Linked DNA regions of Arabidopsis thaliana. The protein of the gene in region 1 interacts with the protein of each later gene in a pairwise test. Each region holds a gene or a part of one and is shown in the gene's direction. Other genes may lie near its edges.

What was found. The genes of interacting proteins can lie anywhere in the genome.
Region 2: the proteins of AT1G18335 (region 1) and AT2G43220 interact in a two-hybrid assay, tested with the Arabidopsis thaliana proteins (one large-scale study listed by BioGRID).

What each region holds. Positions count from the first base shown.
Region 1 is NC_003070.9:6,309,229-6,312,985, reverse strand, and holds the start of AT1G18335 (Acyl-CoA N-acyltransferases (NAT) superfamily protein), read left to right. Parts: upstream 1-1,612; 5' UTR 1,613-1,659; coding exon 1,660-1,764; intron 1,765-1,861; coding exon 1,862-1,964; intron 1,965-2,343; coding exon 2,344-2,423; intron 2,424-2,523; coding exon 2,524-2,832; intron 2,833-2,948; coding exon 2,949-3,025; intron 3,026-3,207; coding exon 3,208-3,250; intron 3,251-3,332; coding exon 3,333-3,449; 3' UTR 3,450-3,457; exon of another isoform or gene 3,458-3,531; coding exon of another isoform or gene 3,532-3,558; 3' UTR 3,559-3,592; intron 3,593-3,677; 3' UTR 3,678-3,757. Other genes in the region: AT1G18340 (basal transcription factor complex subunit-like protein), read left to right, coding at 128-174, 368-405, 492-537, 637-690, 775-843, 951-1,027, 1,112-1,207, 1,299-1,374.
Region 2 is NC_003071.7:17,962,379-17,966,135, forward strand, and holds the start of AT2G43220 (Cysteine/Histidine-rich C1 domain family protein), read left to right. Parts: upstream 1-1,840; 5' UTR 1,841-1,961; coding exon 1,962-3,578; 3' UTR 3,579-3,757. Other genes in the region: AT2G43210 (Ubiquitin-like superfamily protein), read left to right, coding at 1-422, 611-853, 944-1,182.

The sequences.
Region 1 (3,757 bases):
TTTTAGGTTGACATGTTTGTTCTCAGCTAAACCTATAGCATGTCTAAGGCCATCAATGTTATCTGGTAATATATGTATTTGATTTTCAGTCTTCACATTTTGTTGTTGACTTAATTTATGGCTCTAGATATACAGAGGGTTTTCCGTTCTGGACATCTTCATCCCCAGCCTCGGGTGAGTGTTCAGTAGGATATATGTATCAATCAGTTGTCTTGGATAAAACTTTTCATGTTGATTGCTTTGTATGAATCTTCAGCTTAAAGTATTAATGAGAATATAGACTCCTTTTTCTTATGTGTTATCTGTTCTATCGTATACCCCCAAAATACAGAACTGATTGTGCTATTGACGTTTATATGAAATACAGATTTTATGCTTGCAAGGTTCCCCAGATGGCCCGGAACAGTATGTTTCTTCCTTCATTTTTTTTCTACTTGCAAGATTTTGTCTTGTTTGTCTGGTCTCATTAAAAGGTTTTGTCATTCTTTCAGGTATGTTGCTGTTATGAACTCTATCTTCTCTGCCCAACGCTTGATGGTAATCTTCATTTTGATTGGTTCTTTGGGATTTCCGGTTCTTGATGTTCTCTAAATCCAGTATCATGTACCCAAATCACTTCATCAATTGGTTCTTTAGGTTCCCATTGATTCGTGTTACATAGGTGTACAGAACTCAGCATTTTTGCAGCAGGTAATATCATTTCTCCTTTATACATGATTCTAACTCGTCAAACTGGACCTATGCGTCAGCTGTTATCTCCTGGCTTATTTGTAGGCATCTTATATAACTGGTGGTGTACATCATACACCTAAACAGTTGGATGGGCTATTTCAATATCTAACGGTACGCAACTCAAGTCCAAACGCAAACCATTATGTGACTCGTCTCTCATTTAGCGAACTCAATACTCAATGGCTGCTAACTCTGGATTGTTTTGTTTTGCACAAAAGACAATCTTTGCAACCGATTTGCACTCCCGCGGTTTTGTACAACTTCCTAAACCCATAGGTGTAGATTTTCGCGCATCGTAAGTGATCAAGTCATTAACTCTTCAATTAATCGGGTCTTCCTCTGCATATATAACAGATGGTTTTAAGTACAAAATTTGCAGGTGCTTTTGCCACAAGAAGACAATAGATATGGGCTACATATGCTCAGTGTGTCTGTCCATTTTCTGTGAGCATCACAAGAAATGTTCAACCTGCGGGTAAGAGATTTGACCCGTCATGTTCTTTCTCAAGATAACAATCTATCATGTTGTTTGATACTAATATCGAAAAGCTTTTGGAAATTTGCAGGTCTGTATTTGGTCAGTCTAAACTTGATGATGCTTCATCTGCCTCTGATAAGAAGAGAAAAGCTCCTAGTACCTAAAATCATCTTTTGTGCCAGAGAGAAACTGCAAACTTTGTTTAATTGTGTCTTTGCGTTCATTTTCGATAATTTTTATACCATATATCAAAGTGAAATCAATTTTGCAAAGTTTTTGACTCTTTTTTTTTCCTTGAGATAGTACCCGTTGACTTGAGCAAACAAAACAAAAAGGCCTCTAATAGTCCATATAGAAAGTTGGGCTTCTCTATCGAATTTGAACGAATACGACATTTGGGCTGACGTCATTTATTATTGTCGGATCTATTTCGGGTCCAAACCCGTTTGATGGATCCGTCTCCTACCGAATCACTTCAGACGTGGAGAACGAACGAGACAGAGGGAAGAGAATCATCGGTGTGGCGAGCAATGGATTTGAAGAAACGGCGAAAGGTAAAAAAAATCTCGGAAGTAATGTGTATGTTTCATAGCACTCGAAATTTCGATCTTTGATTTTGTTCGAAATCGATAATTGAGAATTGTCGTGCAGATTTTGGAGAAGAAAAAGACGATTCATGACCTTATAAAAAGAGCTTCTTCCATTGACGATCCTCTTTCTCCGTTTGATTCTTTCCGCCGTTACCGAAGAAACGGTAAATTTGTTCTTCTGCTCAATTTTATTTTCGCCAGTTTCTCAAAAATATGGGATTTTGTTTATGCGAACTGATTATCATTGACAATGATTTGATGCATATAAACTTACTTTTACAATTCCTAATGTTACTACATTATGAAGTAGATGTAGTGTTAGTTGGAATTCGTGCTTTTTAACATGGATTTAATTATCTGTGAATCCCTTACTCATGCAGACTTTGGTAACCTATGATCTAGTGTGCTCTGATTAGTTGTTAGTTAGTTATGATAATGTTTGTGTGAATTTTGTTTTCAGTGCTTACTTGTTTCGTTTTAAGTTCACAGAAGAGTCTTGATGGTTAGCTAATTCTGTGTATGTGTTGTTCTTACGTCTTGTAGACTTATCTTTGTACCTGGAATCTGGCCGTGGAGATAGACTTTCCTCGTCTGTGAAACATCACATTCAAAAACTCTTGAAGGTATTAAAGAGAATGAAGTATCATTAAATTTTCTGAACATACTTTCTTAGAAATTTATTCTAGATTTATTGTTGTACTCAAATTTTTTTACCATTCACAGACGAACATGGAAGGGTTCTATGGGTCTGATTGGCCTATACAAGCAAAGGTGAAGCGTAAGGAGATGTCTTCCGCTGATGCACATTATATCTTTGTGCGTGAGCTGCGTTTTGGTAAAGCCTATGAGACATCTACTCAAAGAACTTGCATGGAAGGGTGTAATCAGATAGCTGGATTTGTGCATTACCGGTTTATTTTAGAGGAAGAGATACCTGTCCTTTATGTGTATGAAATACAGCTGGAATCCCGGGTTCAAGGAAAGGGACTAGGAGAATTTTTAATGCAGTTGATTGAGCTCATTGCTTCTAAGGTTGATTCCAAAATTAGTCTCTTATATTCCTATTTTTCGATATTGATGGCATTAGCTTCTGTTTTCAGATTCATAGCCTGATGATAATATTGTTATGTTCGTTTTCATCTTCTCAGAATCGGATGAGTGCGATCGTGCTAACTGTTCTAACATCTAATGCATTGGCAATGACTTTCTACATGAGCAAGTTAGGGTAAGAGGTACACCTTTTGGAAGATGATCTTATTTCATGTAACAACTCAGATGATATTTTTTGCAAGTGTTCATGGGTTCCTAATATTTCTGTTTCTTGCTGTAGTCAGTCATTTCTATTTCTCGACTCTTTACTGATATTGGCTCGTCCAAACATCTGAATTCCCATTCGTTTTTATACAGATACAGAATATCAAGCATTTCTCCCTCAAAAGCTAATCTTCCGGTACAGAATCAGTAGTCTTATTTTTCATTATTTTGTATAAGGCATTCACTAAAAGAACTTCTACAATTTTTTGTGTTTGCAGACTCTCTCGGTGAAGTATGAGATACTTTGCAAAACTTTTGATTCCGAAGCTAAATCTGTGTTGGAGGTTTGCCCTTTCGCTGCACCACTCACATTTATGACAAAACTGCTGATCTAATATAATATGTGAGTGCTTCTTTTGCTTTTTATCTTGGTATTGTATTATTAAGACTGCTATGATTGCTTTATTTTGCAAGAAGAATGATGAAGAACCTACCAAAGATTGAGTATCAAGCATGGAATAGCACATATAGATTCACTGTAAGTTTCCACTTTGGTCTACTGGAGATATCAGCAATCGTTTATTGTTTAGTTTTCTGAAAAATCTGTTGCTTGAATCTGACAGACCACAGAGGGGTGTGATAAGATGCATTTAGAAAACAGACGAATCCGATGAAGACTTGGTTCCTCCAATGACTTGGTTCA
Region 2 (3,757 bases), on another chromosome or scaffold:
CCCTTTGCGTGTTCAGGCAGAAAAGGAGCCAATTCGTCCTACAGCCCCAGGAACAAATGATAATACATCCAGGGTTCGATCTTCTGTTGATAGAAAAAGGAAACAGGGAACTGTGATAAATGAAGAGGATAGTGGTGTAGGTGTTAGTGGAAGGGACATTAATCTAACAAAATCTGTCGATACAAAAGAGACCATGAAGCCAAAGGATGAAGGAGGAGAGGAAGAGGATGGAGAAAAATCCAAAAAAGCATCTGACGTTCATTTAAACATTCGATTACCTGATGGTAGTAGCCTTCAGGAGAAGTTTTCTGTGACAAGTATATTGAGAATGGTCAAGGATTATGTGAACAGTAATCAAACAATCGGACTGGGTGCTTATGATCTTGCGGTTCCTTACCCACGTAAGGTGTATACTGACCAAGGTACGTAAAATCTACAATGCATCCAATAGATTTTTATTTTTATTTGGTAAAGAACATTTTACCTTAAAACCAGCTTCATCTTGATCGAAGATGATGTTTTCTGCCATTTAGGTTTTTTTTTTTTTTTTTTCTGGTCAGTTTGGACTAGTGTAGTAGATACATAACTCCATTACTCTTAATCTCTGCAGATCTGGATAAGTCTCTATCCGAGTTGAGATTGTTCGATAGACAAGCACTTGTAGTAGTTCCGCGAAAAAGAGCAACCGTCTATCAAAGAGGAACATCTTACTCGGAGTCTAACAACAACACAGACCCTAATAGTGGCGGTTACTTTGCTTATGTTAGAAGAGTACTGTCTTATGCAAACCCGTTTTCATATTTTGGCGGTGGTACTGCCAACGCATCAAGCTCTGTTCCAGAACGTCAAACAAGTATGCGGGAATATGATGAGTTTATAAAATCCATTCTAATGCAGAAAGTCGTGTAATTGCTAATCTGATTCTCTCTTTTTCTATCTATAGGACCAAATACGGAGGTGAGAAACAATCTGGGGCAAGTAGGGACGTCCTTTCAAGATCCATCAGAAGGTAGGAGCAACGTTAGGAATAGGAGACCAACCACTTCTCGGATTGGAAGTAACATCCATACGTTGAATCACAATGAAGATGAGGCTCCGTTTGGTGATGGAAACGCTTTTTGGAACGGAAACTCCACACAGTACGGTGGTGGAAGCGGTGGAGACAGTAATGATAGACGATGAAATAAGAGAAGTTGAAATCTGTGTGGATAGATACAGAAACAGCTCGGGTGTTTACTTTTTATACTTGACTCTTTATGAACCATTTAAGAGACCAGCTGCAAAATGTATCCTGATGCGTTTCCGTTTTTTCGGTTGCTCGTATTAAATTTAAATCTAAAAAAACTAGCAATTTCTGTTTGATTAAATTCGGTTCTAGAAATTAATTAGTGTCGTTTGATTAACTTCGGTTCCAATCATAACAAAAATATTAGAGTTAAATGGTTGCTTAAATATAAGAATCTGTATATTCTTTTCTATGCAAGTGAAGACTTCATTGAACTGTGAAAAGGCGTTCACTGACAGCTTCTTGTTCTCCTAGCGGTTTCCCTTGTGCTCATCCTCACACCTTCCAAAATATTATCAACTCGGATAACAAAACATATATATGTGATCAACCAGACAATTTTTTAATATATATTTCTATAGTCAACGATGAGTACGCATTTTAATAATCCGGTGAAAGATTAGTCGGACTAACTAAATAATTTTTTTGACATATAATAAACACTTGGACCCCCCAAATTGAGCCTTAAGAAAAGACTAAACCAGTTCTATTAGTTGCGTACAACTAACGATGATCAACTTGAGTGATTTATATCGGAGATCGTGGGTAGTGATACGGGTCAACAATATAAGGATTTAGAGATCAATTAGGAATTGAAGTTAAACCTTTTCAATTTTCTTAAAGTTCCCTGATCCTTATTCATTCATCGTATCCACAACCATTCTTAACATTGCCCATGGCTAAGACGCTGGACCTCTTTTGGCACGAACATCCTTTATATGAAAAATATCGTATGTTCACTTGCCAAGAGTGCCATAGGAGTGCTATACCCTTCTTTGAAGTTTTTTATGGATGCTTCAGATGCAATATAAAATGGCATCCCTATTGCGTGCCAAGGTCAACGAAGAATATTAACCACCCTTGTCACCCGAACCATCCCCTAGAGGTTCTCCTCCAAGGGCCACCTAGTTACTCTGACGAGAAGTGCAGCCTCTGTCAACGGAAACTCTCCAACTTCGTTTACCATTGTAAGTTATGCAATTTCAGCATAGATATGGAATGCGGAAACAGGCCCCCGCCCCACAAAGTGGATCATCCAAAGTGCCACGAGCATGCACTCACCCTCATGGGAAGGGAAGTATCCTTCACTTGCAATGCTTGTGGTACGCATGGTGAACGGAACCCTTATGTATGCCTACCATGCTCTGTCATGTTTCATTATGATTGTATTGATCTACCACACGTCATCAACATCAATCGTCATGATCATCGCATTTCACATTCATATCCTCTCAAACGTGGGAATTGGGTATGTGAAATCTGTCGTCAAGATATCAACACCACGTACGGAGGCTATTCATGCAACAAATGTCCAGATTTTTTTGTTCATTCAAAATGTGCAACTAGAAAAGACGTGTGGGATGGGACCGAACTCGAAGGGATACCTGAGGAAGTAGTAGACGTTGCGCCATTTGAAGTGATCGAGGAAGGGGTAATTTATCATTTCTCCCACGAGAAACATAACTTATTCCTTATTGAGGATGTTTTTATAGATGGTGCTGAAGACATGCATTGTGAAGCTTGCGCCCGTCCAGTCTCTTCTGAGAAGCACTACAAGTGCGTGGAATGCAAGTTTATTCTTCACGAAGAGTGTGCGAATCTTCCTCTTACGAAACGACATGGACTTTCCACAGGTATATTTTATCTTCGCTTCGGGAAGGATTTTAGCGAACAAAATTTCAGTTGTGATGCTTGCAATAGAGATGGAAGGGGTTTTAGCTACAAGGATGAAGAGGGTGTGGTACTCGATGTGTTGTGTGCGTCTCTCTCTTTCTTCAAGCACCCCAAACTTCATCCTCACACGTTATTTCTAACCACAATAGATCGTGGTACTTGCTTAGCTTGCGGTGAGAATAAACTCAATGTGCTGCGTTGTGTTGATTGTGATTATTCTTTGGATTACAAATGCGCCACTCTACCATTAGTCATAAAGCATAGGTGTGATACACATTATTTAGTTTTGCGCTCTGGGGAGGAGGCGCCTGAAGGTAAATATTGGTGTGAAATCTGTGAAGCCGAAACCAATCCTGAAAGATGGTTCTATACATGCGATGATTGTGGGGTCGTGTGCCATATTGAATGCGTAACCGGGGACTTTTTGAACATAAAACCTGGAATAATAATGAAGAACAGGGAGAATAAGTTTGAAGTGGGTTTCAACGATCACGATTCTAGACCAAAATGCACTGATTGTGGCTCTCGTTGTAGGTTCCCTAGGTTTTTCAAGGTTACTAGAAAAAATATTGAGTACTACTATTGCTCAAAAGCTTGTTTTCAGAATGCGAAATTCTGAATGCCTGAAGGAAGGCGAAAGGAAGGATTTGGAAACATAAAAAGAATATGGGTTTTTACAGATGGAGGCTGTGTAATGTTTTTCAATTATTTTCAGATAAACTTGTTTTCTATATTTGGATTTATTGTTGGTTTGCTCATTCAGTTCATAAAACTATTTATGAGAAAGAGAGAAAGAGA